Linked DNA regions of Tribolium castaneum. Each later gene encodes a partner of the first gene's protein in a complex. Links are inferred from orthologs where the notes say so. Each region holds a gene or a part of one and is shown on either strand. Other genes may lie near its edges.

Region 1 (16,607 bases):
ATGATGTATTAATTGCTTTTTAAAAATGATAACAATCGTGATGTAGCTTCTCTTTCCTGGTATTCATCTCGGAAGAATTTATCAACTTATCTCAAACGTTTTGTTGAGACTTCAGGACTATAATAATAGCTTTTCATTTTTAATAGTAACCGAAAAAAATCTCCGTTTAATAGAAATGGTAATAGTTTACAAATTTCACTTGCTTAAGAGAATTTAAATGTTAAGACAGGAGAAAATTTTTATGATCTCATAAGATACTTATAGAAAATTTTTGAAGAGCAATCTTCACTGTCGTCAGTTTATTTATTTTTTTCTTCATAATTTGATGTTTCTTGCTTTTGCAATTTTTTTACCGATGGTTATGTATCGGAATTTTTGAAGGAAAATATTTCTCTACAACTTTGTTTCTTACACTTTTTTGTATCTTTAATCGGATTCGCAGCGTTCTCTAGAATATAGGGCAGAGTGCTAATAGCTAATTGATAATAATTGCTTAGAATTTTTTGTAAAGCTATTAAAATTTATTGTATTTTTTCTTTTGCGCTCTAAATACTGGTGTCTGCATCTTTTTTATTAATATTGAAATTGCCACATGTGTTCCACTTAGGCGCTTTTGATTATATTTCAAAAGAGATGTATTTACTTATGATTTAAAGTTATATGATGTAAACAAAATAAAATTACATTATGACAAAAGTTTAATTTTGGCTCGAAATTTGCTTTTTCACTTTTAAAACAAAGGTATTTAGAAAAGCGATGACATTTCCTCCGTAGTTAATACATAAAGCAATTAACGTGCAAATTCAGCTTCTGTAACGCCATGACCAGAAATAGCAGAAAAAATTAAATTTTCACACGTGTGTATTGATTAAATGTGACGTCTTCCTCGACATATCAGTTAAATAATTTCAGTACCCGTATAACAGATATTATGTAAGCGTTTTTCTAAAACAACCTAATTTTATATTTACCAATTTATTGTTTTGCGGAACGTATAGTATTCCTGTGACAAATTATTTAAAATTTCAATAAATTTTTGGTAAGAATCTTATGGTTCTCAGGTCGCGTAATGAAGACCAAAATTAGAGTTTTTTTTTTTCGTATTTTGTTTGAGTAATTTAAATGATGTGGGGCCCTTTTGCAGGAGATGAAGGGTACATGGTGGCGAGCGACCCCCGGGGCCGCGTGCTGCAGCAGCAGTGGGTCACGCTGACGGCGAGCATGTGGCCGGAGCCGACCGCCTCTTCCAGAGGCTGGAGAATATCAGCTGAACGTCTTCCTGTTTTGGCTGCGGTGTTTTGTGGGGCGGCTTTAGTCGTCTGTCTCTTGTGCGCCTTCCTCCTGTATCGCTGCTGCATCATGCCCCGACGGGACAAGCATTACTGTAAGAGCCATAGGAAATTGAAACGAAATTGCCTGCCGAGTGTCATATCCGTTGTCATTTCCTCCACCCGAAATTTGTGCAGGTCTTCGCAAAGTGGACGGAAGCTCGAGTGGGACCCAAGTGCCTCCTATCGTTTCGCCAGCCTACCCAAGCCAGACTGCCGTTTACGCCGAACAGAAGGGCTGCGGCTGGGGCTACAGCAATCGGCTGGTGGCCCCCGTGCTGGCCAACCCCTGGTACACCAGCAGGGTGATCGGCGGGCCCCAGTGCACGCAGTGCCCGGGCGTCTGCCCCGTGCCGAGGAGCAGCAGCCACCCCGGACCCTCCTCCCAGGTGGGACAAAATAATAATTTAAATTTGGGAATTGAGTTTAGCGCCTCAGTTTCCGAAACAAAATGAAACAAGTTCTCAAGTTAGTTAAGAAAATTTTGGTAGAAAAGCAAAAACGCTTGTTGGAAGTAAAAGTTAACAGGCTGATTTATATTTCCACATTTTTTTTTTTTTGGTTATTAATTAGCCAGAGATATTTTTGCACAGTTGGGAAAGAAACATTTCTGGTTGAATAAACAAGTTCTGTTTTAAAGTTTGCCTTCCTTTCCGTTAAAATAAAAATTCAGTGAATATGAATTTAAAAATAAACTTTGACTTCTTATATTTCGCTCACGTTTGAATGGCAACCTATGCGAAAAGAGCTATATGGCTAATGAATTTCTCAGTAGCAACGAAAAGTTAGTATAACTAAGATCGATGCAGAATTAAATTCTCTACCATTTAGTGAAATAAAAATTGGGGCATCATTTTATTTAAAAATTTCCAGTTATGACTGAACTTTTGCAAGATTTAATCTTAAAAATTTGGGGTTTGCGAGCTTTTTTAAGAAATTTGAAAACACCAGAGAAAAGATTTAAACCTTTTCTTTCAAATAAGCCAAAGAAGATTTCAAAATTTTTAAAAACGGCAGAGTTATCGATTTTTAAAAAACCCTAAATTTTTCGAAAACGAGAAAATTTAAGTATAGATAAAGTTGATAAAAACTCCCTTAAAATAATTTGAGTTGTCCAAAAATGCAGTAAAATATTGAAAATATTTTCATTGATCAAGATCCAACGGACTATGGTTGCATGCATGACATGACTATTATAATAAAAATAATATTAATAATAATAATAATAATTTATTCGTTCATCTTATCTGATGAATACATAGAACTTAAAACTACGATACTAATAAGGATATTATAATATAATTAAAAATAATAAATATAAATATAAACATATCAAATTGAACAGATAACAAAAAGGAGAAAAATTAGAATTATTAGAACTCCAAGTAATTCTAATGTGGGGTTTAGTTGGAACAGCCTATGTGCTGGGTTAGCAGCTCCTAGATTTATGGTTGTATGTAATTGAAATTTTAGGGTCAGCCTAATACAACGAGGAGGCAACGGCCGGTGAGTCAACCAGTTCAGTTGGGTCCTCCAATTACCACGAATGGGGAAATTGTACCAAAATCACCGATGCCTGAAATTTCAGAGTTTTCACCCCAGAATGTACAATACGCCTCGAGCAGCAGTAAGTCTGATTTTGGATTTTTTTAATGCCTTGTCACAAAAGTAGTTCCCATAAGCTTTTTTCACATTTCATTATCGAAATTCTGTACCAATCGCTTTTATAGTTACAAGAAAACTATTTTCGATCTGCTATTTCCACTGAACTAGATTCCTTTAAACCGTTATTAAAGTTTTATGTGTCACATTTTGTTTTACGACGAAATCCCATCAAACCGGAGCGTAAAATCCCCAATTAACTGCGTAAAAAACGAATGGGTTTAAAATATTTCAACTTGTGGTTGTTAGTTTTGGACGAAGTCGGCACCAAGGACGAGAATTCCGACGAACCTACTTTGAAAACCCGAAGCCTTCCTGCTTGGGTCCGCTCGAAGCCGCGACCTCTGTCAACTGAAGATGATTTAAACGACTTGTATGCAAAGGTGGGTGTTGAGATGGCTTTACAGGATAATAAAATGCGAAATTCTCAGGTGAACTTTAGCAAGAAACGAAAAAATCGCATGCGCAACGACGAAGCGGCGATTATAGCTCTAAGCAAATCCAGAAGTCAATTTCTTCACAAGGATACAGACTCCCTAGTCGACAACGAGGCTGTCATAGTCTACGACGAACGCACAGCTTTATAAACGATTTTTTTGAGACGAAATTTATATATTTTGGACATGTTTTTATTGATATTGAACATATCGTTGTTGCAATTTAAGACTACGTCAAATGACAAATAATTGATAGATTAAGATTCGAGGGTTAAAGTATTTTTCTGTGATAAATTCTTTCTTCTCATCATTGTAACATAATTCCCTAAGACTGGTCATGCATTTCTATGTTTAGATAGGTGGGATCGTGCTGTTTTTAATACTGGTAGGTATTATATCATTCAGCACCAGTAGCTGACTAGGACACTTATTACGTAGGGCGGCTTTTACAACGCCACATTCGTAAATAGTCAATGTGAGATATAATTTTGTACATAAAATACATTAAATTATTTTATTGTGTAATTTGAATCCTGTTTCAATAAAACGCAACGTATCGATTTTTAGTCTTTTTATTGAAAACAATAGTGTCAAATGCCGGTTATATGGATAGTAAAATTTCACAGCATTTGATTAAATTTGCAGTTGTTCCAATTCCTTCAACAAGTCCGCCTCGCCCTTAATTTTCGACAATTGATTGATTTCCAAGGGCTTTCCTTGAGCTTGTTGTTCCTTCAACTTCTCAATAGCATCCAATTTCTGGAACAAATATTGGCGAAAAATCACACGTGGAAATTCCTCACCTTTTTTATATTTTTAAGTTTTTTATCCTTCTCGGGATCCCCTGTCAAATTAATTTGGACGCTACTAACAACAGGCGCTGAAACTTCCTTATTGTCTTCTCCAGCTTCAAGTTTCTTGGCTTTTTTCGCTTCGCGCTTCTTCTTCTGCTTTAGAGACGCTTTTGACTGAGAGTCTGCCCCCGGCTTGTGGGATTGTTCCTCATCATCGTCTAAGTTGAAACGTATTGTTGGACGGTTGCGCGCAGAAGGGGGCCGATAGGCCTGTTTCGAAGCCACCGGCTGGCTGGGGGCTATACCCTCAATTTTTTCCGACGTTATAACCGGGTCTTTGAACGCGTATTTGGGAAATTTCTACAAAATCAAGGTGAAACAAGCGTTTACGACCACCGTCTCTTATACCTTCCAACACACTTCATACAACTCTTCCTGGGGACCTGAATTTTTTTCGTGCAAAAGCGCCCCCGAATAGTGCCATATTTTATACCCATTTCCAATTCGCAGTCTGGGGGACGTTGTCGCCGTCAGGAAGTGGATGCCGTCCGGAGACCACTCCAAAAGCGTCGAGTCCGGCGCCTCACAATTTCCTAAAGCATTGTTAAATTAAATTTAAATAAAATATCTGGCACAAACCTATCAGTTTCCTCGCCGCCACGTCCCACACCTCCACATGTCCCCTCAAATTCCCAAAACCGCCCAAAAGCACAAGATTTCCCTGGGGATTATAGTAGAGTGCGTTCCTTGGCCCGGTGCCAAATTCGAAAACCGGTTCACACTTCAAATTAAAAATTGTGGCTTTGGCTGGTACAAAGCCGTAAACGACACAAAATTCGTGATTTTTTGGCGACCAAGCCACGCTGTAAATTGGCCCTTCCTTGCTCATTGTAACCATGGCTGTTTGCCCGTTCAAGCCCATAAAATGGAGGCCTTGCTTGCCATAGTAGGAACCGCCGGTTTTGTCCACTTCTGTCGTTGTTAAAAGGAGGGCGTTGTTGCCTTTAGAATTCCAGTAAAATTCGACTTTATCAGCTTGGAAGAAGCTTTTGCTAGCGATTGATTGCATTGCGTCAAAGTTTGGATATTTAAACAGTCTTAAAAGAAAGTCTCAGTCATTTTCCCCTACAGTGCGAGGAATAGTTACTTTCCAAATGACGGCTGACCTGAGGCTCCAGGCACGTGGCAAAGAATGAAATACGTCCCAACGTTTGGAGATAAACTGAACGCCGCGATTTTGTGGCAATTTATTCGCGCCACAATTTTCTCAAAGTTGAGATCCTCGTAAAACACAACGTCGGTGTTTGAAATTCTGCTAAATAACTTCTCATCAGCGCTCCACTGAGGCTCCCTAGCAAGTCATTGTTACCTGTTCTACAAACTTTAGTAAATATTTACCAATTGCCTTGCTTCTTGTGAACAAAACTTTTGACAAGTTCACCAGTCTCGCTTTTGTAAATGTTTAAGTTTGGCTTTCCTTGTGGGTCGTCTTTAGTGACGTAAAACTGTTCCCAACTCATCAAATATGTACTTTTGGGGGAAAATGATAAGTAACAGGCTTTTGTACCTTGAATTGTTGCAACTTCGTTCCAATCCTCCGTACGCACAATTTTCAGGCTGCGATTTAACGAATTAATAATAAATCAAAGGTGAAAATCCTGTACTAACTTAGACCCGTCCACGAAAGCAAAATATTGCCCGTCAGGGCTAAACAACATGGTCTTGCAAGTCTTGCTCTGAACGGGGCCATATTGCCCCAAGTCGGTGAAGACAGGTGGGCCCACGTTCAACGTGATGCCACTCGAACTGCGAGCTAAATATTTGTGTTATCGCAGTCGCAGATTACGATTTTTTTAAGTTTTACCTGCAAATGGGATTGCTGAAGCCATGATGAGGTTACGTCCAACACGTGTTAGAAACACATTTCTAGCAAAAAGTAAGATAGAGTTGTAAAAAGTAATCAAATAAACAAGGTGGAGGACACGTTATTTGCCATTTTTCATTGAAAATTAAAGAAATTATGGCAAAAGAAAAATTTCTGTCATTGACGAATTGTCAAAAACCCCACCAGCCACTTGCTCTACCACACGTTGATCTACGAATTTTATTCAAATTGTTATAATATCGTTATACAAATTATTAGGTTTAATTTTGTAATCGTCTAAAAGTAGTATTAAAATTTGTAATAATAAATTATAACAGATAATGTAATTTTTAGAAGTAGTCCTAAAGTAAACTAGAGTAGTTCAAGTGATTTTCTAATTTTGACGTTTGAAGACCAATTTTCACATCAATCTATTTATTTATAAATTCCGGCCACCGGCGAGTATCGTCTTATCAACCGGTCAAAGCAGTGACGTGTTGACTTCCAAGACCAAAATTTTCCAAAGAGACTTGTTAAGATTTTTGGCACAAAAGGTAAAATTTCTGAACTGCACCGGCACGGTATTGCTTAAATCATCTTCAGATGGGCACCTTGACCGAAATTTCCTCAAACAAGATGTTTGGAGGCTTCCAGAAGGTGTTTTCCCACGAGTCCAAGTCCTTAGGCTGTGTCAGTAAATTTGGTGTTTATCTGCCGCCTCAAGCAGAGGGGAAGAAGCTCCCTGTTATTTATTGGTTGTCAGGACTGACCTGTTCAGAGGCCAATTTTATCGAAAAGTCAGGAGCACAGCGATACGCCGCTGAACATGGAGTCATTATTGTAAATCCTGACACCTCACCTAGGAACTTGAACATTGCTGGTGATTCAGAGTCTTGGGATTTTGGGGTCGGGGCCGGATTTTACGTCGATGCTACGCAGAAACCATGGAAAGACAACTACAAGATGTATAGCTACGTTACTAATGAGTTGGTGAAGATTATTAGTGATAATTTTCCAATTTTGAGTGGGAAACAGTCAATAATGGGGCACAGGTGCGTAATGAACACTTCGTTTCCGTAAAAATAACGGAAATGGTTTTAGTATGGGGGGACATGGGGCGTTAATTTGCGCTTTGAAAAACCCAGGGATGTATAAATCAGTCTCCGCTTTTGCCCCGATTTGTAACCCATCTAACTGTCCTTGGGGCATTAAGGCATTTAGTGGGTATTTGGGGCCCAAAGAGTCGGGCGAATGGGCGCAGTGGGACGCCACTGAGCTAGTCAAGACTTACAATGGCCCCCCATTGGAGCTTTTTGTAGATCAGGTAATAATTATATTTTAGAAGTAATGGTTGTACATTAATTTTTTTAGGGGTCTGAAGACAATTTCTTGCATGCCAAGCAACTGTTACCTGAAAATTTGATAGAAGCTTGCAAAACCCACCACGTCCCGGTTGTTTACAAAAAACGAGATGGGTATAATCACAGCTATTATTACATTGCTTCTTTCATAGAAGAGCACATTAAATACCACATGGAGCACTTGCTGAAGTAAGGGTTGGTAATAAAAACGCTGATTTTTAATAAATAATAATTATATACATTTTATTACAAAGTTTATAATAAATACTGGGAGTAGTTATTTTATGGAGCCCCTAAATTCGTGCCAGTAGTGGAGAATAGGTTCTCTTTTCGCCCACAAATATTGGTTGCCCCACAAAGCCCACATTCTGTAAAACAAAGCTAGGAAAAAACTTTAGCAATGAATTAATTTATTACATTCCACAAGCTGCTCCTCCTAAATGTGCAGCATGGTCGAAAAATTTCCAACCCATCAATACTCCAGCTGTGTCAATGCCCACGATTACTTTAATTGCCTATAAAAATAAATTTTAGAGGCAAATAATAACGAAATTTGCTGACATACAGCGCCTGCACTAAATGTAAAAATTGGCAGTAGAATAATCCCTAATTTGGTTTCAGGATATTGGGTGCAAACATACCCCAAAATCGCCATAATAGCCCCTGACTAAAATAAAATTTAACTTAAATTTTGATTTAAATGCTGGGAAAGTATATTTACAGCTCCTAGCGACAAGCCTGGTTGTTTGGTAATAACTTTGTAGACATAACTGGTAAAACTCGAAATAACTCCTGCACCCAAGTACAGTCCTAGGAACTGTTCTTTACCCAGACTGTGTACTGCACCTGAATATTTGAAGTTGGCAAAAATGTGGAGCCAAAGTAATATTTTACCTGTGCTAAAGCTGTGAAGTACGTACATATTAGCCAAGAGATGGAACCCTGAGTAATGGCTAAAAGTCGACAAAATCATGGGCCAGCACACACTTTTGCTTCCCGGGTTTGAACAAAAATATTTCAACATGAAGGGCTGCAACCTCGGAATCCTCCACGCGCCGAACACGAGCACGTTTATCAGACAAATAGGCACAAAAACCTTCTCACCAGGCGTCAAAAGCTTCCACTTTTCCTCAATTTGCCTCAATAAAGTATGCTAAAAACGCACAAGGTGAATCCAATTACGTCAATTTGGATATTTACAGATCTAGAATGGAATTCATCTGCTTGACGCTTAAACAGTCTTACTGGTTTTTTCAGCATTTTAATCGCATGTGCCCTCATGTTCTCATACTCCCATATCGCTGCGCCTACAAAGCAAGCGGCACTAAACTAAAATCAAACGTTTTGTAATTCTTCTCGTTCTGTTCTTTGTTACCCCAATCGTAAATCCGAAAGGCTTCCACAAATTGCGTGGGTGTAAACTGGAGCCTCCTAAACTGACGTCTTGGAACGGAGTTTCAATACTGCTAACGTTGGGCTTGGGGGGCTCATTGTTGCGGCGGCGGAAATTACGTACGGACTTCGGGGGCGAATTTTTCATTAAAAGCGTACTTCGAGAGGTGCTACATTCTGGGGGTTAATAGTGGGAAAGTTGGGTTAGGTCTCACCATAACTCGCCCAGCCGAAGCATGCGGCTCAGAGCCATAATCCTGGCAATAACTATGCTCTATTTTAACGGAAAAACCATGAAATTTTGCGAAAAATTAACGCAAGTTGTGAAATTGTGTTGTCGAATAAACTAAATGGTGGGGACAGGAGTGTGCGTTATGTTGGTGTCTCTGACAGAAAATATTACTCGTTAATTTTTAATTAACTTGAGTCGCTGTTTTAGATAAGGTCACGATAAGGAATAGATTTTAATTAAAGCTGATTGGTTGCGATCGTATCGCTTAAAATGTGGAAAAATGGGCAAATTCGGAAATTCGTTTCGAAATAATGGTTTATTTGGTGTTGGAGTGATGGCAGTCTTGTGACATTTTGTTGACATTTGCGAGTTACCGCTCTTTTGTGTTTGCGCAAAGTGCGCAAAATAACGTCTCGATCTGGCGCCTTCTCTTCATGTAACGCCGCTGCGTTGTTGTGTGGTGTTAAATGTGTAAATATCGCATGTAACAATCGACAATGGCAAACATAAATTTGGACAAAGAAACTTTTCACCGCCGCTTAAAGAAGTTGTACAGTGCTTGGCAAAAATCGGAGAGCGAGAATGGTTTCTCTAAGATGGATGCTTTGGTTACAGCCGTCGGTGTGGACGACGAAGTGGTTTACAGTAAGTCGGGGGCCCTCCAGACCTGGCTTTTGGGCTACGAACTGACCGACACCATCATGGTCCTGACCGAGAAGAAAGCCCACTTCCTGGCCAGTAAGAAAAAAATTGATTTTCTGAGACAAGCCGAAACTAAGGACGAGAATTCGATTCAGTTGTCTCTGCATGTGCGAGACCGCACGAGCGACGAGGCCAATTTCAAGCTCCTCATTGACGCGATCAAAGAGAGCAAGAACGGGAAAACAATCGGGGTTTTCTCCAAAGACAACTACCCGGGCGCTTTCATGGACGCCTGGCGCGCGGCTTTGTCCAAAGTTAGCTTCCAGACAGTTGATGTGAGCGCGGCTATTGCCTATTTGCTATCGCCAAAGGAAGATTCAGAAATCATAACAATTAAAAAAGCCTGCATGGTGAGTGTCGATGTGTTTACCAAGTATCTCAAAGACCAGATAATGGAGATAATTGACTCCGATCGCAAAGTCAAGCACAGCAAACTGGCGGAAGGCGTGGAGTCTGCAATCGCCGACAAAAAATACGTTTCGGGCGTCGATGTTTCTCAGGTTGATATGTGCTATCCTGCCATAATCCAGTCAGGGGGCAACTACAGCCTAAAATTCAGTGTAGTGAGTGACAAGAACACTCTACACTTTGGGGCCATCATATGCTCGCTGGGCGCCCGGTACAAGTCCTACTGTTCAAACATTGTCCGCACGTTGCTTGTGAACCCAAACGAACAAGTACAAAACAATTATAATTTCCTCGTTACCCTTGAAGAAGAGGTTTTGAAAAAATTGCAAGCCGGGACAAAGCTTTCAGAGGTATACGAAGCCGGTTACAACTTTGTTAAGAAAGAAAAGCCTGAACTGGCGGATAATCTGACCAAAAATTTCGGTTTCGCAACGGGGATTGAATTCAAAGAGAGCTCGCTTATGATCGGCCCAAAAACAACTCTCCCGGCGAAAAAGGGAATGGTCTTCAACGTCAACATGGGTTTTAGCAACCTGGAGAACAAAGATGCGACCGATAAAGAGGGCAAAACGTACGCGCTGTTTATTGGCGACACTGTGATGGTGAATGAAGGCCAACCGGCCTCGGTCCTCACCATGTCCAAGAAGAAAATCAAAAATATCGGGATCTTTCTCAAGGATGAGTCCGATGATGAGGATAACGACGATGAGAAAGAAAATGCCCCAAAACCTGAAATACTAGGGAGGGGCAAACGCACCGCCGTTTTGGAGTCCAAACTTAGAACCGAACATACGTCTGAAGAGAAACGAAAAGAGCATCAGAAGGAATTGGCTTCGATGCTGAACGAGAAAGCAAAGGAACGGCTTGCTAAACAATCGGGATCGAAGGATGTTGAAAAAGTTAGGAAAAGCACAGTGTCGTATAAAAATGTCAATCAAATGCCCCGTGTGCCTGAAGTCAAAGAACTGAAACTCTACGTGGATCAGAAATATGAAACTGTCATTTTGCCGATTTATGGAATTGCAGTGCCGTTCCATATCTCCACCATTAAGAATATATCGCAGTCGGTCGAAGGCGATTACACGTACCTTCGGATCAACTTTTTCCATCCCGGATCCACCATGGGCAGGACCGATGGTAAGAAAATAAACGTAACTGATTAGTTACGTTTATTTAAAAAAAATCTGAGGATTTTAATTGAAATATGTCATTGAAAAATGCCCGCGGTATGTTTTATTTAATTTATGCATTGTGTATCAAGTTGGGAAAGTTCATAATGCACCATTACGTATCTGTTTAAATATTTAAGTAAATTTGTATCAAATTTATGGTCATTATTTAAGCTTCTGCATCACCTGAAATTATGGTTTTCCAAATAAAAATTACAAGTTTAATGTTTTTAAACGAAATGTGTAATATCTTTAGTTCTTTGCTGTAACTTGTAATTCTGTTTGCAAGTTAAACTTTTATTGGTCGATTCTTTGACGATTTAAAAGTTTAATACACCAAAATTTAACATTTTTTGAGTTGCAGTCGAGAAGTCGCGATTAATTATGACGAATTTTTAATCAGATATTTTACACATCTGACTGTACCTCCTCTATTTTTTTGTAATTTTTCACTTTAATTTGATCTAAATTATTTGTGGAATTCAAGGAAAGTACTGTAAAAATATTATCAAAAATTTGAATAAATCGAATTAAGATGCAAACATTTTGCGTTATGTTGTCACACGATGTGACGCTGGTATTTACCGTAAAAAATTATTCCTTTTTAAGAATATTGGTCCATTTTTTGTGGCGTTATTCACAATCACTGTACGTCGTAATAATACAGTGCCGAAGTCCTGCCACTATATTTATAAATAGTGCCATAAAAACGAACAATTTTTCGATAAATCCTTTCATCGTCTCATCTTATCATCAGTTAATTGTACATATTTGAAAAATTACACTTTTGCACTTTTTCAAAAACGAATAAGAATGATTTAAAAAGTATTTGTTATGAAAGGGTGTCTTAGCTGAGATGACGCCACAGTTTGTATCTATGAATTTTCATTTTAACTGTGGTTGTTTATTACTTCAAGGTGGCAACTACCAGCAGCCTGAAGCCACTTTCGTCAAAGAAGTTACCTACCGCAGTTTGAACACCAAAGAGCCCGGAGAAATTTCCCCTCCCTCTTCGAACCTAAACACTGCATTCCGACTAATCAAGGAAGTACAACGAAAATTCAAAACCCGCGAAGCGGAAGAACGCGAAAAAGAAGATCTTGTTAAACAAGACACGCTGGTCTTGTCGCAGAACAAGGGCAATCCCAAGCTTAAAGATCTTTACATACGACCTAATATCGTCACAAAGCGTATGACCGGCGCTTTGGAAGCTCACAGTAACGGTTTCCGGTACACTTCAGTCAGAGGCGACAAAGTTGATATTTTATACAATAATATTAAGAATGCATTCTTTCAACCTTGCGACGGTGAAATGATCATACTTTTGCATTTTCACCTGAAGCATGCGATCATGTTCGGGAAAAAGAAGCACGTGGACGTGCAGTTTTACACGGAAGTAGGTGAAATCACGACTGATTTAGGCAAACACCAGCATATGCATGATAGGGATGATTTGGCTGCTGAGCAGTCTGAGAGGGAGTTGAGGCACAAGCTGAAGACGGCGTTCAAGAGCTTTTGCGAAAAGGTGGGTTCATAAGCTGATTGTTTGTGTTTTTATTTGTGTGTTTCGTATTTTTAGGTCGAAGCGATGACAAAACAAGAAATCGAGTTCGATACGCCGTTCCGGGAGCTCGGCTTTCCCGGAGCCCCCTACAGGTCCACAGTATTACTCCAGCCGACGTCGGGTTGCCTCGTCAATTTAACCGAATGGCCCCCGTTCGTAATTACGCTCGAAGACGTCGAATTAGTCCACTTCGAAAGAGTCCAATTCCATTTGAAAAACTTCGATATGATTTTCGTCTTCAAGGACTACCAACGCAAAACCGCAATGGTGAACGCCATCCCGATGAATATGCTGGACCATGTCAAAGAATGGCTCAACTCTTGCGACATCCGCTACTCCGAAGGTGTCCAGTCGTTAAACTGGGTCAAAATCATGAAAACAATCACCGATGATCCCGAGGGATTTTTCGAAAGCGGCGGATGGACGTTCCTGGACCCGGAATCGGACGAAGAAGCCCAGGCCCAAGAGGAGGAAACGGAGGACGAGGACGAAGTTTACGAACCGACCGACATGGAAAGCGTGTCGGAAGAAAGCGAGGAAGATTCCGAATACTCTGAAGGCGACACTGAGGAGAGTGACGAAAGCGCTTCCGGGGAGGACGATCTAGGATCTGATGAAGAATCCGGGAAGGACTGGTCCGACCTGGAGCGGGAAGCAGCCGAGGAGGACCGGGAACGCAATTTCGACGATACTTTCGACCGGAAAAAGTCGCATCACAAGTCGAGCAAACCCAGCAAACACTCGTCGAGTAAAAGCAACCACAAAGGCTCGCCGAGCAAACATTCAAACAACCATCATTCCTCAAGTAGCAAACATTCGAGTTCGAAACATAGCAGCAGAGATAGTGATAGGCGTAAATCTTCTTCAAGTTCGAAATCGAAATCTTCACCCTCGAAAGACAAGGACCGCCATCACAGAAGCTCGCATTCGGATTCGAAAAAGCGCAGTCGGGAGGAGAGCAGCGATAAACACAAGTCCAAGAAGTCGAAGAAGTAATTCGAGGAAGTTGTTTTTACCGTTGTATTTGTATAAGTTATTTTTATGTTAGAGATTTGTGTTTCAAGTTCTGTGTTTCGTTCAGGCTAAGTTCTTTCCACTGAATGTACAGATTAAACTTTTGATATAAACCGTGGTTTAATTTGCACGGAATTCTTAGTTTTCGTGTATTACATTTTATGAAGTTATTGCAAAACATGTAATAAATTTGAAAAGACCAAATGCTGTTGCTTGATGACAAACTGACGGCGTTTTACGGCTGTAAATTTGGCAAGAAATTGGAATTTTTGGGGAGAGGTAAGTGGGTATATTTACAACAGAGAGGACTTTTGGTCTACTTAAGTTGTATGAGTGAGTTATCCCGCGGTGTAAGTACAAAAAAAAAATTATTATCTATTTTTTGCTCAAAGTACTAAAACAAAAAGCAAATAAACAAGATGTATATTCAGGCGTGAATAAAACAGAAAATATTGAGTATTGCTACCCATAACTGCAAATATCAGTCGTCAAACAAATAAAACTCCAAAATAAATACGTTAACAATATCAGTAAAATATCGCGATGCTAATTAAGTACACAACACTGGTGTGAAAATTGCTACAACCCAAATATCTTTCCCTCCACTGCCTTCACTTCGTCCAACAAAGTCGATTGCGGATTGATTTTGACCCCTTGTCTCTTCAAATCTTGCAACCGCTGCTCAAGCAGATCTTTATTTCGTCCATTCTGCCACCAAATTGTGATACAAGCATTCAATAAAGGTACATACAACTCCAACAAATCACTATCACTAACCCCCTCATATCTATGTAGGGCTAAATCAGCCCATTTTTGGCATTGTGAACACTCGGGAATTGACATGCAGCACCCTAACAGTCTACATAAAGCGATAAGCACGACCGGCGACCGATCAGTATAAAATTTGTTTAGTAGTTTAAAATTGTTTTCAAGCAGCGGCAAAGCGGACGAAAAGTCCCGTTTTTCCAAAAACGTCCGTGCTTTCTCCACTTCAACGCCTTGAAGGAACTCGACTAAAGCCTTAGACGCTCGCAGTTTAGATTCGGTGCAAATGTGCCTCAACAGGGACTCAAAGCCCGTGCTTCTGGTGGAAATCAGCTCATTATCAAAGTTTCCTATTATCACTTTTTTGGGAAATGTAACATTGGTCATTAAGTTCGGGTGTTCCTTCTTTAGGGCGCTGTAAAGGTTCAGGAAGTGCGTGTATCGCCGCTCCACCACCGAAGGGCTCAAATCGTCGTTTCCTGAAATGTGACGCACTTGCAGCGTGTACACTACATGTTTCCTTTCCTCGCCTTCGTCACATATTCGCGCTGACAGTATTTCGAAAACTAGTCCCTGCTTTTCGTTGCCTGAAACCAAACGTAGGAAATGACAAAATAAGCGATTTGGTCACCTAAGATTTGGGTCATATTTGAGATGTTTTGTTCACATAATTACGCCCCCACGCAGTCAATATTGCCCTTATCCCCACCTACAAGTACTTTTATACACCTTTGTGTACACATTTTGCAGATAACAACAAAAGGTAGATAAAAAACGTCACTGTCACTTGTCAATAATTAACCTAAACGTCAGTAGTGACGTCACGCCCGCTGCGATGCGCGAATTACTGGCACAAAAATGATTTGTTAACACCCCTGAACTGAAGTAAATTATGAATTTGTGATAATTGTATCCCTAGTCAAGTAAACCAAATTGTTATTAAAGGTAAGGGGGTGAGTTCGCCTTTCGGAGTTACATAACCTAAGATGTTGACAGATGTCAAAATTTGTCTCGAATGTCAGTATGCTGGACATTGATAAAATCGAGGATTATGACCCAACGGTTGGGGACACCCTGGTTCTGGAGGACATTTACCAGATAAATTGGAAGGAGTTTGCATGCGGTTGGAGCGCTGCATTTATTAACATTACAATAACCTATCCGATAAACAAAGTGATTTTTCGACAGGTTATTGCGCTAATTTTCCCACAAATTGGGGCTTAAACGGCTAGTTTCAGATGTTGCATGGCGTTAACGCGTTAAGTGCGTTTCGCCAGCTGCAGAAAGAAGGAATGTTTTATTTATATCGGGGCATGCTGCCCCCTTTGTGCCAAAAGACGCTCTCGATGTCGCTAATGTTTGGGATTTACGAGGAGGTGCGGCGCCCGCTTATGCTGTCGGGCTTTAATGGGTATTTGTCGAAGTTTGCCGGGGGCATGGTTGCGGGAACCACCGAGGCGATCTTGATGCCGTTTGAGCGGATACAGACGCTGCTTGCGGACGCACATTACCACAAGGAGTTCAGGAACACGCTGCATGCATTTAAAGTTGTAGGACTCAACCACGGGTTTCGGGAGTACTACCGGGGTTTGGTCCCGGTTTTGCTCCGAAATGGGCCCTCCAATGTGGGCTTTTTTGTCATCAGGGATGAAGTACAATACTACAGACCTAGGTTTAATTCAAAGTTTTACGAAACTCTTAGCGAATTTTTTTGTGGTGCTATGATAGGTGTGTTTTTGTCCAGCGTGTTTTATCCACTTAATGTTCTCAAAGTTGCGATGCAGAGCAAGATTGGGGGCGGCTATGAGAATATTTTTAAGGTTTTAGTACAAATTTATAACGAAAGAGGTAGGAAAATTAGGTATATTTATCACGGAGTTCAGACCAACTGTACGAGAGCATTTATCAGCTGGGG
Region 2 (16,607 bases), on another chromosome or scaffold:
AGCCTGATCGTCTACTGCGTTTTCGATCCTCGATCAGCCGAATGCGTCTGCCGTTCAGCTCGGTATCGTCTAGCTTTTCGATGGCGTTTTTGAGGTCTGAGTACGAGGCGAACTCGACGACGCCCTCGTTACGGTGCTGTTTATGGGCGTCGGCATAAGTGACTTCGCCCGCCTGGCGCATGTAATCTTTCAGGTCTTGCCAGCTAATGCGAGACGAGAGGTTTTCGACGATAAGTCGGTAATTGGTTCTGGTGGGGGGCCCGTAGCGTTCATGGGAGCGGTGGTCGCTGCGGCTGGACCATTGGTCTCGACCTCGGGGTGTCCCTCGGGCCCGTTCGACAGTCACACGCTCCCCTAAAAGTTTTTTACCGTTTAATTCATATACAGCATCGTCGGCATCGCGATGATCATCAAATTCAACAAACCCGTAGCCGTTTTTGATGAGCACGTCCCGCATGCGCCCGTAGCCCCTGAAAAAGCGCTCTAAGTCCCGCTCGGTGGTCCCGTACGGCAACCCCCCGACGTACACGCGAGACCCTACCATCGCTATTGGCCCCCTTGCAAGCCCTCTCTAAACGCGGACCTATGCCGATCCGAATACTCCACCTCGCAAAGGTACAGACCGTACGCCGGCACTGTCTTTATTCGCTCGTCCCAACTCCGATGCGACGGCACTTCCAGCATCAACTTTAGCTCCCTACGCGTTTTTTTACCTTGACCTACGGCTATCAGCGATGCCACCATGCGACGCACCTGGCAAAAGAAACACTTTTACAACGGCTGTCTACCTTCGAAAGGAAGCCATGTTGGAACGTTTCCCTCCAACTCCACCGGCCAATTTTTAGGTTATGAAACGTGTCCCAACCAAAAACAACGCTCCCACAAACACACAAGCCATACTCACTAAAAACGATATTTACTTGACTAGATCCAACGCCTCGCTACTTTTTCGACCAAATTTCAAACGTTTTAACCACTTTTTTCACACCAAAAAGGAACGAGATCAAAGTCTGCACGGAAATTACGAAAATTCTAGAGTGACGCAGCACTACCAACCCAACCATGACATCATCAATTTTCACAAACACGCAAACACCACAATTAAAACCAACCGCCACCCCGCAACACCGCAAGCCCTAACACAGCCCCAATCCAACCCACCTTTTGCGTCCAAACAGCCGCAAAAACACAATTACACGAAATCATTCAAAGCGGCCAAGTTGCCGGTCTGGGCCACAAACCGCGCGCAATTCGAGTCGTACCCACCTGGCGGTAAAGAAAACCAGTCGCTTGGACATAAATATCGTAAAACTGGTAATTCTCAGCGGAACCTGACGCAAATCGGGGCCAACTAAAGGAACTATAAGTTAGAGCCCTCCCATCGCAAACATCAACCCTGGTAACAACTCGCCGAGTGATTTTGTCGGGGTCGTGCGACCCGCGCCCCATAAAAGTCCGAAAATCATGCAGTCCTTCAAACACTTTAGCCGCCTCTTTCATTTCGTCAATATTGAAGGAATCACAGCTACAATTTTGCGTTATTTAGCCGCCTTCACCCAAAAAATGCCTTACTAAAAGAATAAACAACGCTGGTATTCTTCAATTGGTAATAAATTGAGAATGGTCGCATGTTCCGTTACTCCAGTCTTTGCGATCGCAATTCGGTAGAGATAAGTCCGCGAGATTGCAGTATGTCGACAGTGGAAATCCGGGGGGACCCAATACGTCTTAATTACACGAATGGGGACTTCATTTTTGTCAAAGTATCGATTGAGACAGATTGTTATAGTTTTGGGTTCATACTCGAGCTCATTCGAGCGGTACAGATCAACATGGCACGTGGAATTTAAAGCGTGGACCCCCGAATCGGTCCTAAAACCACACCTTGCACGTGGTTCAATTTACACAATTTTTTACCTGCTAGACAAATACACGACAGGGTCGTTAGTCGGGTTCAGTCGTTTCAAAGCCATTTCGAGCTGCCCTTGGACCGTGGAGGGGTCATCGGGCCGGGGCATTCGACCGGTGACTTGCCTCTGAGCCCCCCTAAAAAAAACATGAAAGAGCCGCGACCGTGACTGAAGCAAGCAAATACATGAAAGGGGTCCCGATGTACGAAAAGTGGAGCAAGTAGCGATTCAGAGCCATTTTCGTGAAATACATCGCTGTTATTAAAGCGAGGTTATGTCACAAAAATAATGGTAAATAACGTGCTGTTTCCCATTTATATCTCGAATTAAAACAAGCAAGGGGCCCCCACATGCACAGTAAGCATCAAAGGGCGATTCAATGTAATTTGCGCCGATTATAGCGTTTTTTGCGAAATTAAGGTTATGTAAGATTAAGGTTATGTAATAAATAAAGCCGGGTGTTTGTTAAACATATTTATTAAATAGAAACTTAATCGCTATCGGAATTGGCGTCACTTGACGCGGGTGTGCTCTCCTCGCTTTCGGATTTATTCTTCTTTTTCTTGTCTTTGGGTTTTCCGCGTTCGCTATCGGAACCCTTCCTTTTCTTGCCTTTATCATCATCACTGTCGCTACTCGAGTCGTCGTCTTCGATAAATTCCCGACTTTTGACTTGACTGGGTTTGACGGAAGGCATAGAAGAGGTTTTCTTCTTTGCTGGTGCTTTTTTCTCACTTGACTTTTTATCTTCCGATTTTGAACCCCCTGAAGCTTCATACTCCTTCATGGCCTTGTTGTACTCCTCTTTGGCTTTGGCCGCTTTCCCCTCCCACTCAGACTTATCCTTCAATTCCTTCCACATCTCTCCACCTTTCTTTGCAATTTCGGTGATTTTAATCCCGGGATTATCTGCCTTGATTTTATCCCTCATCTCATTTAACCATAGCATGAACGCCGTCGATGGTCTTTTCGGTTTATTTTCGTCCTTTGATTTCTTGGCCCGCTTTTGGCGCGGTTTCTCCGACACTGTCTTAGCCGGTTTCTTCTTTTCTTTCTTCTCCTTCTTCTCTTTTTTGTGCTTCTTCTTATGTTCATCACCGGAACCTTTCTCTTCGTCTTCGGACGACGTTGAGCTCGGACTTGAATCAAACTCTTCAGCAACGTCACTCTCATCCTGAGTTGGCTTGAAATCTTCATCAGTACTCTCATCTTCACTTGGACCATCGTCATCATCTTCATCACGTTCTTGTGCCTCGGCCTTAACCCTCTCCAAGTAGGCATCAGGGGCCGCCTCATTATCCGAATCGCCAAAATCGTCATTATAGCCCCCTTTATCCTGAAAGAACCAATCAAATTAAACCAAACCAAAACGAGTGAAATTGTTACGTTTTTGCCCCGATTTTTGATATTCAGTTTCTTGGTGGTAATGAAATCAAACAATTTGTTGTATTCTTCCTTCTCAATGCTGCTAAAGGTGTGGACAGTCCCGGATTTGAGCTCAATTTCGAAATCAAACGAACGGGTACTTCCCCCACCTCGGGCGAAATTCACAGAAGCCACTTCCTCGAAACGAATGTGAATTGGGGGCTTGTGGACGTACATGAAGCCCCGTTCAAGGGGGTACAAGTAACCAGCGGCTGCCTTGAACGAACAGCCGATAGCTGGGGTCCCTGAATGCCCGACAAAGCCCCCCGGGCCGGTCAGTTTTCGATTAATTATAACCTTCATGACTTTGCCTAAGACCTCGTAAGTGGGGCCTGATAACTCCTTATCCAGCTTGCCCTCATACTTGTCCTTGAGTTCCTCACTGGAATTATTAATTAGGAAAAAATTTTGGCCTAATAATTAATTAATTAATTACTCGGTAAAGGGTAATTCGATCGAAGTCTCCTCTTCTTGACCAAATAACAAGACCAAAAAATGATACCTGGTTTGGCCCTGTTTGATGGGTGGATCAAGACTCACTACGAAAAACATCTGCCGGTTGTCTTTGTGTGGAAGGAGAAACAAACGCAAGACTGTCGACATTGGGATTTTATAATCGAATGTTTTTCCATGCAATTGGAAAAACGTTTGGAAAATTTTAATATCGTAACGACCACTAGAAAAAAATTCTTAGGGAAATTTATTTGTGGTTTTTCAAACCAACCGTGGTGTGAGACACTGAATCTCCCGAAATATCGCAATAGCGTCGCCTGAGACACTGATAACCGAAGCCTTCTTCATGACTTGTTTTTGGAAGGCTTCAACTGGGTCCACGTCTCCGGCTAATTCGTTTGAAGGAATGAAAAATCGCATTTCCATGAGGCTTACAGGGGCGTCATCATTCTAAAATCGATTAGTTTTTGACAAAACGGCCAGAAAACGGGGAAAAAAGTTTGATTTCTAACAAAAAACGTGTAATTTCGAACGTAACAGTTAAAAACAATTTGGTGATTTTGTTATGTTTTAACGAAATTTTAAGAAAAAAGCTGAGAAACGTGTTTAAAACCTTGGTAAAAGTAAAAAGTTTGAAATAAAAATAAGCGCCCCCTTCCCACCTGATGAAACTCCATCGTGATTTCATTCTTCCCCGCCGTACATTGAGACACATGATTGAGCGGAATCTCGAAAGCGCTGTTATGTCCCACCTCGAAGCTCAAAACCGAGCCGTTGAACTTGGCTGTGCCCCAGTTCCAGCCCTTGAGACTCAACTCCTTCTCCAGCATGTCGATTTTGTAAGTGTTCGAGAAGAATTTGGCGATACGTTCCTTTTCCGCGTCCTTAAACCCGACAAATCGGTGCAAAGTGCCGTTCTTGAGGAACACGCGGATCCCCAACGAACCGGCAAAGTTCTGGAAATTGACTGCCTCGAAATCGGACGCCGAAATTGACTCGACTTTGCCCGTCTTCGAGTTTTTGAAAATGATGTTTTGGTCGGTCATTTTGAGTTTACCGCCGGTCTGAAACGAGGAAATTGAGGGGGAATTGGGGGAATGGGGGCTAACGTACCATGCAGCCTTTGACTTCGGCAGAGATGTCCGAATATTCCAGGAAATCCATCTTGGGGAAAATTCACTCAAAGTTTGGTTTAATTTACGAAAAAAACAATATAAAAACACAAAAACTTAGCTCAAGTATTTTTTGTGGTGTTTCTTTTTGTTTGGATTTTTTTTACAGGTTATGCCGCCATTTGACGCAACTTCGGCCTTGAAGTCAGGCTGCCACAACAAGCCCGCGAAACCACTAGAAATAAGTTGGCAGCGTTACGCAATTAAAAAAAATTACAAATTCAAAATTGTTATTTTATTGTAATTACAAATGTAAATTACTTAGTATTCATTGTAATAAACAAATAAACGAGAGGGCTAAATTTATTTTGTTTTATTTTTGCCCACAACCAAAAATTAGTTCTTTTCATTCTGAAACCAAAATACAACTTTTTAAATTTATGAGGTGTAATAAAATTCTGCCCGACTTGAGTTACTTTGCATAAAGCGTATTCAGTTTCAATAATAATGTCACTTGACATAAAAAATGCTCTTGTGGTCGCAAATAATCCGACTGGAAACCACAAACAGTCAAAATGAAGAAAAAGTTATTTGTGGTCGCTTTTATCTGAAAGTTTGGAAATTATCGTAAATGTTGACGCGGTTTTGGATTTTTTTTTGGAAATTCTATTAAACCAAATCAATAAAATCATGGGTGCTCAAATATTTATAAAATGGTAGGTGCGTGGACCGAAAAATATATAAAAAACGACGATATTTTAAATAATTATTAAAAAACTCCTTTCTCCGCTTTGAATGGGCAAAATCGCAGGTTGATGACTTTTTTCCTTCCGTCAATGACAGCAATACCGGAGTTGGCTGTCAAAGCCCGGCATTCACCGGATCCGCCAATCCGGTGCCGCCATTCCGGTCATATGACCCCAACTTGTTTATTTTGAGCATCAGCATCTTGATTTCAGGAGAGGCACTCGACGAGTGCAGTGGTCGTGTAAAGTGTCTCGTAATAACGCGAGTTGCTGAAAAAAAAATTCAGCGCGTTTCAGTTTTACGAACGTTTTCATTCGCTATGTAAGAAAAAAACAAAACGCGCGAATGGCAACGAGTGCTGTTTTGTGACCTGAAAAATTCTCCTCTTCCATTTGCTCGTCTTGTATGTAGTTTGGAAAATGCTGGGCGTCTTAAAGCGACGTTGGAAACCCAAAAGGTGAGATATTTTGAGAAATGGCGACCTTGACGCTTTTTAACACCTCTGTAAAAATAGACCACGAGGAGAAGGCGCGTTTGTAAATTTTTGCCAAATCTTTTATGCATGTGGATGAAAAGTAGGCCGTTTTTCCGTTTTGCAATTGTTTGGTTTATTATTGTTATTGATCCCGGTAGCCTGGCAATCCCCTCCGCGATGCTCAGCTGTTCCACTGTTGATATCTTATCGATCCGGGCAAACTAACCTCAATCTCCACCAAAAACCTATATACCACTCTTTTTCCTAGCTAATTTTTACGTTTTTGAGGAAAAAAATCCAGGAAATTCGGGTTAGAGGAAACGATAAATTGATAAAGTGATAAGATATTTGCTGAATTATAGCTAATTCGTCGAAAGTATGAGTATATTGGATGAGTCCAAAGGGTGGCTCAGTGGGAGTCTTTAAATAAAGTAGGATGAAATTTATGAGATACAAAGAAAGTAAATATTGGGGGTCATGGCGTGAAGAATGTGAATGTTGCTAAAAATAGCTCATTGAATAAAATCGACTTTTGTTAAAATTTAATTAATCATAAATGCAAGACTTGACCTGATTTTGTTGGGGATTTATTCCATTTTCGCATTGTTTTGTGCGTTTGTGTGACAGTTGGCTTTGACACTTTGACACCTTGTATTAAGTTGGCCTTGACTGTTTGACAGACAACACCCTGTATCTACCTTATTTTTATGAATTTTATGATTTATGATAGTTGATTTAAAACTTGACTTTTAGTCTAAAATCTTCAGAACTTGCAAAAATAATGTCATTTTTTGACTTTATTCTTTGTTTTATTGGCTTATCTTTTAAGAAAATTTGCGCAGGAATTGAATTTTTACTGAATAAACGCTTAGAAAATTTTCGGTCATTTTCGACCCAAATTTTGTGATTTTTTCGTTCTAGTTTAATAAAAACATAGAAAAAAACTTAATTTTTGGTCTAAAAACGTGTTTAAATCCTCAGAACTTGCAAAAATAAAATAATTTTTTACACAATTCTGTGGTTTATTGGCTTACTTTTTAAGGAATTTATGTTTTTCTGAGCAGGAATATCTGGAAACTTTTGATTTTTTTGAGTGTTGCCATGGCAACGGTGAATGGTCCATATTTTTCATTTTCCATACTGTTATGTTGCTTTTGGGACCGTAAATAGTGGGTTACTGCTCTAGGGCCAGAAACCGTTTGTCTGTCTGAAATTCGACACTTTTTACGCATCACGAGTTGCAAGAAAGACGAGACAGAGGGTAAAAAATATTTTCATGGTTTCGTACAAACGTTCCACTCGAAAGCGCTCCAACAAGTCAACTCTTTTGTTATTTTACCATCGACTATATAATTTCTGAACCAATTGTAATACAATAATGGTAGTGGTTAAACGGAGAATGAATATTTATTTGATTTTTTATGCAACAGTTGCCACCCCTGCAAGACTGCTTGCTACAAGAGAAAGGAGTTTAAGTACAGTTGTCTCAAATGTTCGTTTTATTGCGTTGAGGATTAACTTACACATAAAAGTGGAAGACTAAACACAATGAATCTGATGGGGAAAAATTAAAACTTTTCCAGTTTATTACAAACTTTGATCAGGGATTCAATTGAAAGCGTGATGGTATTTTGTTTATTCTCTAAGTTTACAAACCTAATAAAATTAATGAAAAGCCCGAACGTGTAATTTCCCAAAATTAATATTAAAGTCGTGATATGATCTTCCCGAACGCTGAAAACGTGACTAAATCTCTGTAAAAATTCAAATGAACCAGAAGTAAGACCTGGGTCACTAGATCCCACCATTCCCATCATTGTCTCTCATTATCTTATTCAAATTTCGCTGTTTTATTTTTATCAAAACAATGCCGAAGGTCACGTTGAACACATCCGGCATATTGTGCCAACTGCGAAGTCCCGGATATCTCCAAATAGCCCTAGAAAATTCCGACTTTTTCCGACGCATTGCGTGGCCCACAATTGTAAATGCAATAACTTGGAAAGTGGATATACAGAGTGTAGGTCGCTGAACTCGACTCTCGTTGCCAGACAGCGTGACGCCTCCACTTCTCACAAACGCGAAAAAACTTTGATTAATCATCACCTAGTCACCGAAAAAAGCAAAAAACTCAAAATCCATACCGGGTATGGAAATTGGTTTTTCGGGTTTTTTGCCCCAAATCAAGCCTAATCGAGGGAACAAACCTCTACGCGCCCAAAACCAGTCAAAAAACCGGAAGTTTTGCTCATTAGAGGAGCGGCTCATTGTGATTTGAGTCACTAAAGGGGAATTCAATGGACGTGGGCCAAGAAGCAAAAGTAAAACGAGCTATTTTCAACGCGAAATGACCTCTTTACTCCTCAAACACCTGACTGGAAAAATCTTTCACTTTCGACGCGTGGGCCGTATTGCATCATTTACACACAGTTGACATAAAATGGAATGATGGCTGAAGTATGGCTTCCTGGTGCGCGAAACAAAGGGAGGAAAGTGGATATTTTCCATACTTGTGCAACTTCCGGCCCAAGTTTTAGCCGAAACATCCGCGACCCAAAATAAACTAAATCAAACGGTTGAATGTGAAACTAAGGAAATCTAATCGAAATGTAAAGAAATTTCCAAAATTGTCAAAAAAAATGATAAATAAACAGAAAAATAAATAGAAGAGTAAATAAAAGAAGAAAAAAAAAAGAAAATGAAACAAGAGATATTTTCTTTATTTTATCACAAAAAGAGACATTTGTGCTTTTTCGATTTGTGATTTTCTGGGTAAAAACTACTACAGAAATTCGGGCAATATCTACTTAAATCTTCCAAACTGTTGGAGCAAAACAGGAAATTAAAGATGTTTACAAGAGATGTTTACGTGCTGTGTTTTTTTCGTTCAAATACATATATTAAATCTTTTAAACTTCTCTTCGTAAAGTTGTGACGGGAATACCTTGTAGCTTTTCCATAAAATATAAAACTGAGGCTCTAGTTATGTGCGGCGCTGATAATTATCATGAATTAATGTCTCTCTCCGCGTTCTATTTATGCCTCACATGTGGAGTACATTTCAAAAACACCGCTCCTGAGGAATGCGTCTTGAATTTCGTGTTTTATCGGGGATGTTCTATTTCCAAGCCGCTGTTGAAAAACTCGGATATTTACCATTTTAACATTTCCAAGTTTAATGTGGCGCTAAATCCGAATTTTCCTTTTATTATGCTCATAAAAGCGGGATGTGTGTCAACGAAATTATCGCAATGCCATGCGGAAATGGGGCTATAGATAGAACGAACAATGATTGCAGCGACCCACTTGAACAAAATCAAATTCTGGGAGAATGCACTTTCGCCCAAAAATCGCACATCATGGGAAAGTCGAACGCTTTGATAATTAGCGACGATGAATATTTATGAGCGTTTGACGGGATTGCGCAAAAAATACGACACTTTCTAATATTCTCCAATATTTTAATATAAATTAGTGGACACTTTATTTATTTTTGATCATAGAATCCTAATTAAATTTGTGCCAACGTAATTTTTTTTTGATTTATTTTTGAAAAAAAAATCAAAATTTTTAAAAATAATTTGAAAAATCCGATAACTGGGAAATGCGAATTTTGTAAAATCTTTAGTCCTTTCTTAATTATCTTATGGTTGGGCAGTGAGGATGGCACTGCTTGGAAGCAGCTGTGTACATGTTAGCCACCAGCAAGATATTTTCAGTGATATAGAAAAAATTCAATTTCAAGTAACAAAAAATTGTGGTCTCGTTATTTGGAAAGAGAAGCATTTGCCTGTATTTTACGTTTTGGGAAAAGCGGTCTCCCGATATTAATAAACATTATAAAAAGTCCTTAGTACCTACATTAGATTTTGTATTTCTTAGATAAAAATTTAACCCCAATATCTCGAAGTCATTTAGTAAAGGATTGGTTTTGTCTGTCTTTTACACATTTCCCTTGAGATGCTATGCAAAATTTTTAAAACTATGTATTTTTTTCTGTATCTCTGTGCACCCGATTTTTTTTCTACAATTCCTTATAGTAATTATTATCAATGAATGGAAAATATTAATAGTTGTATTAATAAAATTAAAAATATGAAAACATTAATTAACCAAACTGTCGTTCTAAAACAAACGATGCTTAAATGATGTTTTGTACAAAAAAATTTGAAAGAAATTCACGTACAAGTACCTACATACAAAAAAAAATTAAACATTTAATAGCAAACGCTGAATTCTGGATTATTATACGAGTGGTTTCTATTTGTTTCGTCGATTTGTTCAGTCCATTTCAGTTTTTTTGTTAACTTTTTTTGTAATGGAAAGCAGGTGTACTTGGGCTTCCCTTAGAGTTTCAACATCTTCCGAGAGAATCTTTTGTATTTCTGAGAATTTAATTGCACAAAAATACGAATTTAGCGTTATTTGACATTTGCTGTCTGCTCAGCTTTCTCAATCTCCATTATTAGAAATCTTCATTACAAATTGATTTTTTACCGAAAATAATCAAATTAAATTTTAACCTATTGTTTTCCAAAGTAAAAAGTAGATTTTGACGTATTCTAGACTTTTGATCGTTTATCCATTTTTCCATTTTTGAGCAATGAAAAAGGAACACATAAAAATTACATAAAAAAATAACAAGAAAACATTACTTTAAAAAGAAAAAAACATCACTGATGCTTGATGGATCAAAAATTCAGTTCAAAGAATTAATACGATAATTCTGTCCATGAATACCATCAGATACAGAAACATCATTTTTCACATCTTCCAGTCTTAGTTGATCGAGGTTTATTTTGCCCTCTCTTCCTCTCACCCCGCTCTTGACTATGGGAGACTTTCGGCGGTAAAAATTGTCAAAGTAAAATGAAAATTCGCGTTTTTTTCAAAACTAATAATAATTTTCCTAGTTTCTTTGGTCGCATTCTATTCGTATCATCACAGTGCATCTTTCCCCTACACGTTTTTTTTTAATATTGTAAATATTTCTTCAAAATTTTAACAAAAAAATGTTAATTAATTTTTTTTTCAAAAAATACTTGTTTTTGTCGCACACTTGGTTTAACTCTGTCGCCAATACAATTTTTTTCCAAGACGAAATTAAAACACCAAAATCCCGTGTAAACATTGTCGCCAGAACACACAAACCACCGTCGAACCCGTAAATATTTTCGTTCGTTATTTACTCGCAGGTCCAAGGTTGTAAATATTTAGCTATCGGTAGCGAAATTTTCCCATTTGTCATTCAGGTAAAGTTTGAAAGTGCATTCGTGTCGCGATAATAAGGTCAGACACTGTCCCATTATCGAGTGGGCTTGGTTTCGATAAACCCAAAGTGGGCGATTCAACAACCTACTCGATTTTGAATCTATGTATGTGAGAAAAACACATTCAAGCCCAATCCTAATGTCACGGCAGATGTTTTTGGCCAAATAACTGTTTTGGTGCATCTGTTGGCCCGCTTTGCATAATTTCGGATTAAGTCAATTGGCGTCAAATCGGGCCGATTGAGTGGCCGGCCACCAAACTCACTCAGTCGCCAGCTGTTCCTCTTCCACCTAAATTTAGTGTCTGTGTTTTTGTTATTTCCGTTTTCGTCACCTAAGCCATATGGCTTACCGCACTAAGCAAACACTTTGCTCTTTTGTAGTACTCTCTTTGCGTGTGAAAATCAATAAACAGGGAAAAAACCGAGCTAAATGAACGCTCGGATGGGCACGTGTTACTTGAACTCCATCTCGAATTGATTACATCCGCGGACAGGTGCTCCGTTTTCGTTCACCTGTTGTTAATTTTTATCAAGCGTTGATAATTGATTGTTGGAGATGTTGCGTCAACCTATTATCTTTTTACAACTTTCATTGACGGTTGACACGAATCGAACTAATTATGTGTGCGCTTTATTCGGATTTCTATACACATGTTACGCCATTTTTGGGATTGAGTGCGTGTGGCAAGCGGAACGTAATTTAGGTTACCAGAGGTTAAAATTAGAAAAGATGTCTCTCCGTAATACTGCACAAAATAACTTGCTTGGTGGCCCGAAATTTCAGCATCTTCACCAAGCTGCAAAAAAGTTATCCCTCAACTGACTTTTTATTTTAAATTTAGTCAATGAATTTATGTTGTTTTCACAGGACGGACAACACAATTTTGGACAGAGTTTATCGTTTGTTTAATCAGAAATGTTTTTATGGCCAACTATGCAAAAATAGCTGTGGTTAGTAAGAAATTTTCTACAATGTCAAAAAAGCCAACATAACTTGAAAATTATCACAGATAGGTATAGGGAATGCTAATACAAATCGATGCAGAAAAAAATTCTCTTCCATCCAGTAAAATAAAAATTAGGACATCTCATATGAAAAAAAAATAAGTTATGGGTACTTGAAGTTGTCCAAACTTAACCTTGAAATTTTTGGGTTTATTAACTTCTTTTCCAATTTTGAACACACTGGAGAACAGATATAGGCTTTCTCTTTGAATTCTCCAAATATGATTTCGAAATCTCGGAAAATAAGAGAGTTACTGATTTTTTAAGTGACAGGTGCAAATCCAAAAATTTTCAAAAAATCTTAAATAGCTCGAAAACGGTTAAACTTAGGTATAGGGAAAGCTCATAAAAACGGCCTTAAAATAACTCAACTAATCCAAAAACGCAGTGAAAAATATAGCTTTCCATTTAAAATAAGAAAACTGAGAGCGATTTCCGGTATAACCGGACGTGCCACCATCTTGAAAATATTTTCATCGAGCGGAACTCAACGGATTATGGCTGAGTACCAACTTTCAAATAAATATCTTTATTAGAACCTTCCATACTTCTGATGTGGGGTTTAGACGGAACACACTGTATAAAATTTTTTGCCGACGTTTTTGCTTTCAAATTTAAATAAAAAATACAGTCTAATGAAAAAGAAAGAATTTGTTTGTAAAGATTCGAGTTTATTGAAGAATCTCCAATAAAAATGAAAATATTGTGCGATAAATCGTCTTCGCATTGTATTTGTTGACCCATCGACAGGTGGAGTTTAACGATGCGTTACAATTCACGCTAACAAAGCGCAATTACCGACCTTTCGACGGTGGATGTGGTGATAAATCCCCATCTCTAAACAATACAGCGTGATTCGAAAAAGTGCGCCACATGATTTACTTTTGAATGAAATTCCGTAGGTGTCTAAGCCGCCTACCAGTGTTGTGTGTGTTAAAAACACGGGCTTGGCGGCTTGTGATCCAGTATTTGCCGCGAACACGCAAAACGATTTATTACCACTGGTGTATCTTTAGCTGCTCCTACATGAACATGAATCAATGGACCGATTCTTGCATAAGCGGCAGAGAAAGCACAAAAATTAAACAAATGGACTCAAGATGGGTCTCAGTTGGGGAAACAAGTAACGGGATTGGGCTGTCGCGTTTTATGCTCGCTGGATACACAAAAGCAAGGAAAAAATTTTTTTTATTTATTTTATTCTGTAAAAAAACAGTCAGTTGTAAAAATCTTTTGAAAAAGGCCCGAATGGCCAGTCCGGGCCTGTTCTTCCGTTTCAATTACTTGCATAGCCAATAGATTGAGATTTATCGCGTTTAAGTCAACTCTTCCACGTCTCTTATTTTATTATGCAAATGGCATTCATGTCTTTGGCCAATGAATCATTCGAACCACGTCATTTCTCTCCCCCTGGAATAAAATATGTAGTGTAGCCCGTAGCTGAATAAACACCGTTTCATCAAAATCAGGTTTCGTCCAGAGAAGAATCCAAGTTGTAAATTGAAATTGTAAATTGGAGCCGCCTCAGTTTGAGTCTCTAATTAAGTTTTCTCCTTCCTGTGGGAAACTCTCACGCATCATCATCATCATGACGGTCAGGTGTAATTTTCTCTTCGTGAAAAACGTGCCTCTCCGAATCCCCCTTTTCAGTGCAATTTGCACCACGTCATCATCACTATATTGTGATCTAATCAGGCATGCTGTGCCCCCTTTGAAGCCCAGTCCTGTCGTGAGTCATCGAGTGAATTTTTTCCAAAGAGCTTTTGACACTATGCCAAAGTTTCATCAGACAGGATGACGATATCCGGCTTATCAGCGCACCGGCGCGGCGGCGGGACTACTAATTAATTATCAAAATGTTTGACTATTTTTATTTGAAGCAATTAGGAAAGACTAAAATAAGCAAAGTTGGTTGAACTTGCACTTGAGCTAGAGAAGAGAGCCTTACCGGTAATTGCCCGCCTTTGGGATTCAATTGTTGCCTGAAAAATGCCTCCTCTACGCCGGCAGCTGACACGAACGTATAATTTCTCGAATTACTCAAATTACAGACGACTTTTCCTCGGTTAGCTCACGCTGGGGAGATATATTGATCGGAGGTGGCCTTGCATGGGCACAACCATGGTCAACATCCAGCTTTTAACACTGATATTTAGAATTTGAAATTGAGTTTTTTAAACAATTAGAATTTGCGCCAATTTGGGGAAAACATTATTTGACACTTTTCGTTAAAATTTTAAAGAAATATTTATAATATTTCAAAATCGTGTTGGGGAAGATGCACTGCGATGATACGAATAGAATGCGACCAAAGAAACTAGAAAAAATATTATTAGTTTTGAACGAAACGCGAATTTTCATTTTACTTTGACAATTTTTACCGCCGAAAGTCTCCCATAGTCAAGTGCGGGGTGAGAGGAAGAGAGGGCAAAATAAACCTCGATCAACTAAGACTGGAAGATGTGAAAAATGATGTTCCTGTATCTGCTGGTATTTATAGACAGAATTGTATTAATTCTATGAACTGAATTTTTGATGCATCAAGCTTCAGTGATGTTTTTTCTTTTTGAAGTAATGTTTTATTGTTACTTTTTTATGTAACTTTTATGTGTTCTTTTTTCATTGCTCAAAACTGGAAAAATGGATAAACGATCAAAAGTCTAGAATACGTCAAAATCTAGTTTTTACTTTGGAAAACAATAGATTAAAATTTAATTTGATTATTTTCGGTAAAAAATCAATTTGTAATGAAGATTTCTAATAATGGAGATTGAGAAAGCTGAGCAGACAGCAAATGTCAAATAACGCTAAATTCGTATTTTTGTGCAATTAAATTCTCAGAAATACAAAAGATTCTCTCGGAAGATGTTGGAACTCTAAGGGAAGCACAAGTACACCTGCTTTCCATTACAAAAAAAGTTAACAAAAAAACTGAAATGGACTGAACAAATCGACGAAACAAATAGAAACCACTCGTATAATAATCCAGAATTCAGCGTTTGCTATTAAATGTTTAATTTTTTTTGTATATAGGTACTTGTACGTGAATTTCTTTCAAATTTTTTTGCACAAGACTTCATTTAAGCATCGGTTGTTTTAGAACGACAGTTTGGTTAATTAATGTTTTCATATTTTTAATTTTATTAATACAACTATTAATATTTTCTGTTCATTGATAATAATTACTATAAGGAATTGTAGAAAAAAATTCGGGTGCATAGAATTACAGAAAAAAATCCATAGTTCTAAAAATTTTGCGTAGCATCTGAAGGAAAATGTGTAAAAGACAGACAAAATCAATCTTTTACTAAATGACTTCGAGATTGGGGTTAAATTTTTATCCAAAAGATACAAAATCTAATGTATGTACTAAGGACTTTTTATAATGTTTATTAATATCGGGAGACCGCTTTTCCCATCTCTGTCCAAATAACGAGACCACAATTTTTTTTGTTGGTTACTTGAAATTGAATTTTTTCTATATCACTGAAAATATCTTGCTGGTGGCTAACACGTACACAGCTGCTTCCAAGCAGTGCCTTCCTCACTGCCCAACCATAAGATGATTAAAGCAGACCAGAAGATTTTACAAAATTTGCTTTCTGATAACTTTCCCGTTATCAAATTTTGAAAATAAAATACATTTGTGATCAGCAAGAAATGAAAATTCGGCGCCGTACCTTAGTTTTTCAAAATATTTTTTATTTCAAAAACTTTTAATTTAAAAAAAAATAAAAAAATAGAAAAGTGTTACGATAGCGCAAATTTAATTACGATTCTATGATCAAAGCTTTTTTTTGGTTCCAAAAAAAAAATAAAATGATGATAGAAAAATTAATTGTGCTTAGGAACACATTAAAACGTGTTCCCCTTTTTCAATTTTGAGAATTCTAAGAAGAATTTGGCAATTTTTTTCTTTAAAAAAGGGTTGGACGTTGCTACAGTAAATATTTTTTGCTAAAGCCGGGAAAAAGTTCATCGTCCGTTTGCACGTTACAAAAGGCACCTGTTCCATCCACCTCGGCATCAATCAACGTCTCCCTGGCTATTTCCAGCCTGCATTCCGCAGCATATTACGCATATTACGTTAAATATACCCAAGTAGCGACATACTTCAGCTGCTTGACCAAAAATTTTACCAAATGTGCAACAGACGGTGGTGCGGATTATGTGTTGCGGAACTTTGATTTCAAATCAGTTTAATTATT

Evidence for each region.
Region 2: dre4 (region 1) and Ssrp share a complex: the UniProt entries of both Drosophila melanogaster proteins name them as parts of the FACT complex. The link is inferred for Tribolium castaneum from reciprocal best matches to the Drosophila melanogaster genes dre4 and Ssrp.

Annotation. Positions count from the first base shown.
Region 1 is NC_087398.1:7,049,022-7,065,628, reverse strand, and holds dre4 (FACT complex subunit spt16), read left to right. Parts: upstream 1-9,392; 5' UTR 9,393-9,567; coding exon 9,568-11,317; intron 11,318-12,266; coding exon 12,267-12,874; intron 12,875-12,928; coding exon 12,929-13,909; 3' UTR 13,910-14,040; downstream 14,041-16,607. Other genes in the region: uncharacterized protein LOC660988, read left to right, coding at 1,145-1,384, 1,467-1,717, 2,802-2,955, 3,240-3,373, 3,422-3,577; eIF2A (eukaryotic translation initiation factor 2A), read right to left, coding at 4,061-4,186, 4,231-4,581, 4,630-4,814, 4,861-5,318, 5,369-5,572, 5,620-5,838, 5,890-6,034, 6,086-6,110; S-formylglutathione hydrolase, read left to right, coding at 6,689-7,137, 7,187-7,409, 7,457-7,639; rho-7 (presenilins-associated rhomboid-like protein, mitochondrial), read right to left, coding at 7,724-7,814, 7,864-7,961, 8,012-8,113, 8,168-8,292, 8,341-8,599, 8,647-8,775, 8,822-9,008, 9,054-9,091; Snx21 (sorting nexin-21), read right to left, coding at 14,507-15,279, 15,324-15,339; mitochondrial nicotinamide adenine dinucleotide transporter SLC25A51, read left to right, coding at 15,689-15,880, 15,931-16,607. UniProt on the Drosophila melanogaster protein: Component of the FACT complex, a general chromatin factor that acts to reorganize nucleosomes. The FACT complex is involved in multiple processes that require DNA as a template such as mRNA elongation, DNA replication and DNA repair.
Region 2 is NC_087395.1:25,954,896-25,971,502, forward strand, and holds Ssrp (FACT complex subunit Ssrp1), read right to left. Parts: upstream 5,113-16,607; 5' UTR 4,953-5,112; coding exon 4,902-4,952; intron 4,853-4,901; coding exon 4,451-4,852; intron 4,239-4,450; coding exon 4,060-4,238; intron 4,012-4,059; coding exon 3,772-4,011; intron 3,718-3,771; coding exon 3,297-3,717; intron 3,247-3,296; coding exon 2,401-3,246; 3' UTR 2,372-2,400; downstream 1-2,371. Other genes in the region: serine-arginine protein 55, read right to left, coding at 1-544; tRNA pseudouridine synthase-like 1, read right to left, coding at 547-753, 1,267-1,525, 1,573-1,872, 1,918-2,046, 2,096-2,163; uncharacterized protein LOC661743, read left to right, coding at 6,067-6,104. UniProt on the Drosophila melanogaster protein: Component of the FACT complex, a general chromatin factor that acts to reorganize nucleosomes. The FACT complex is involved in multiple processes that require DNA as a template such as mRNA elongation, DNA replication and DNA repair.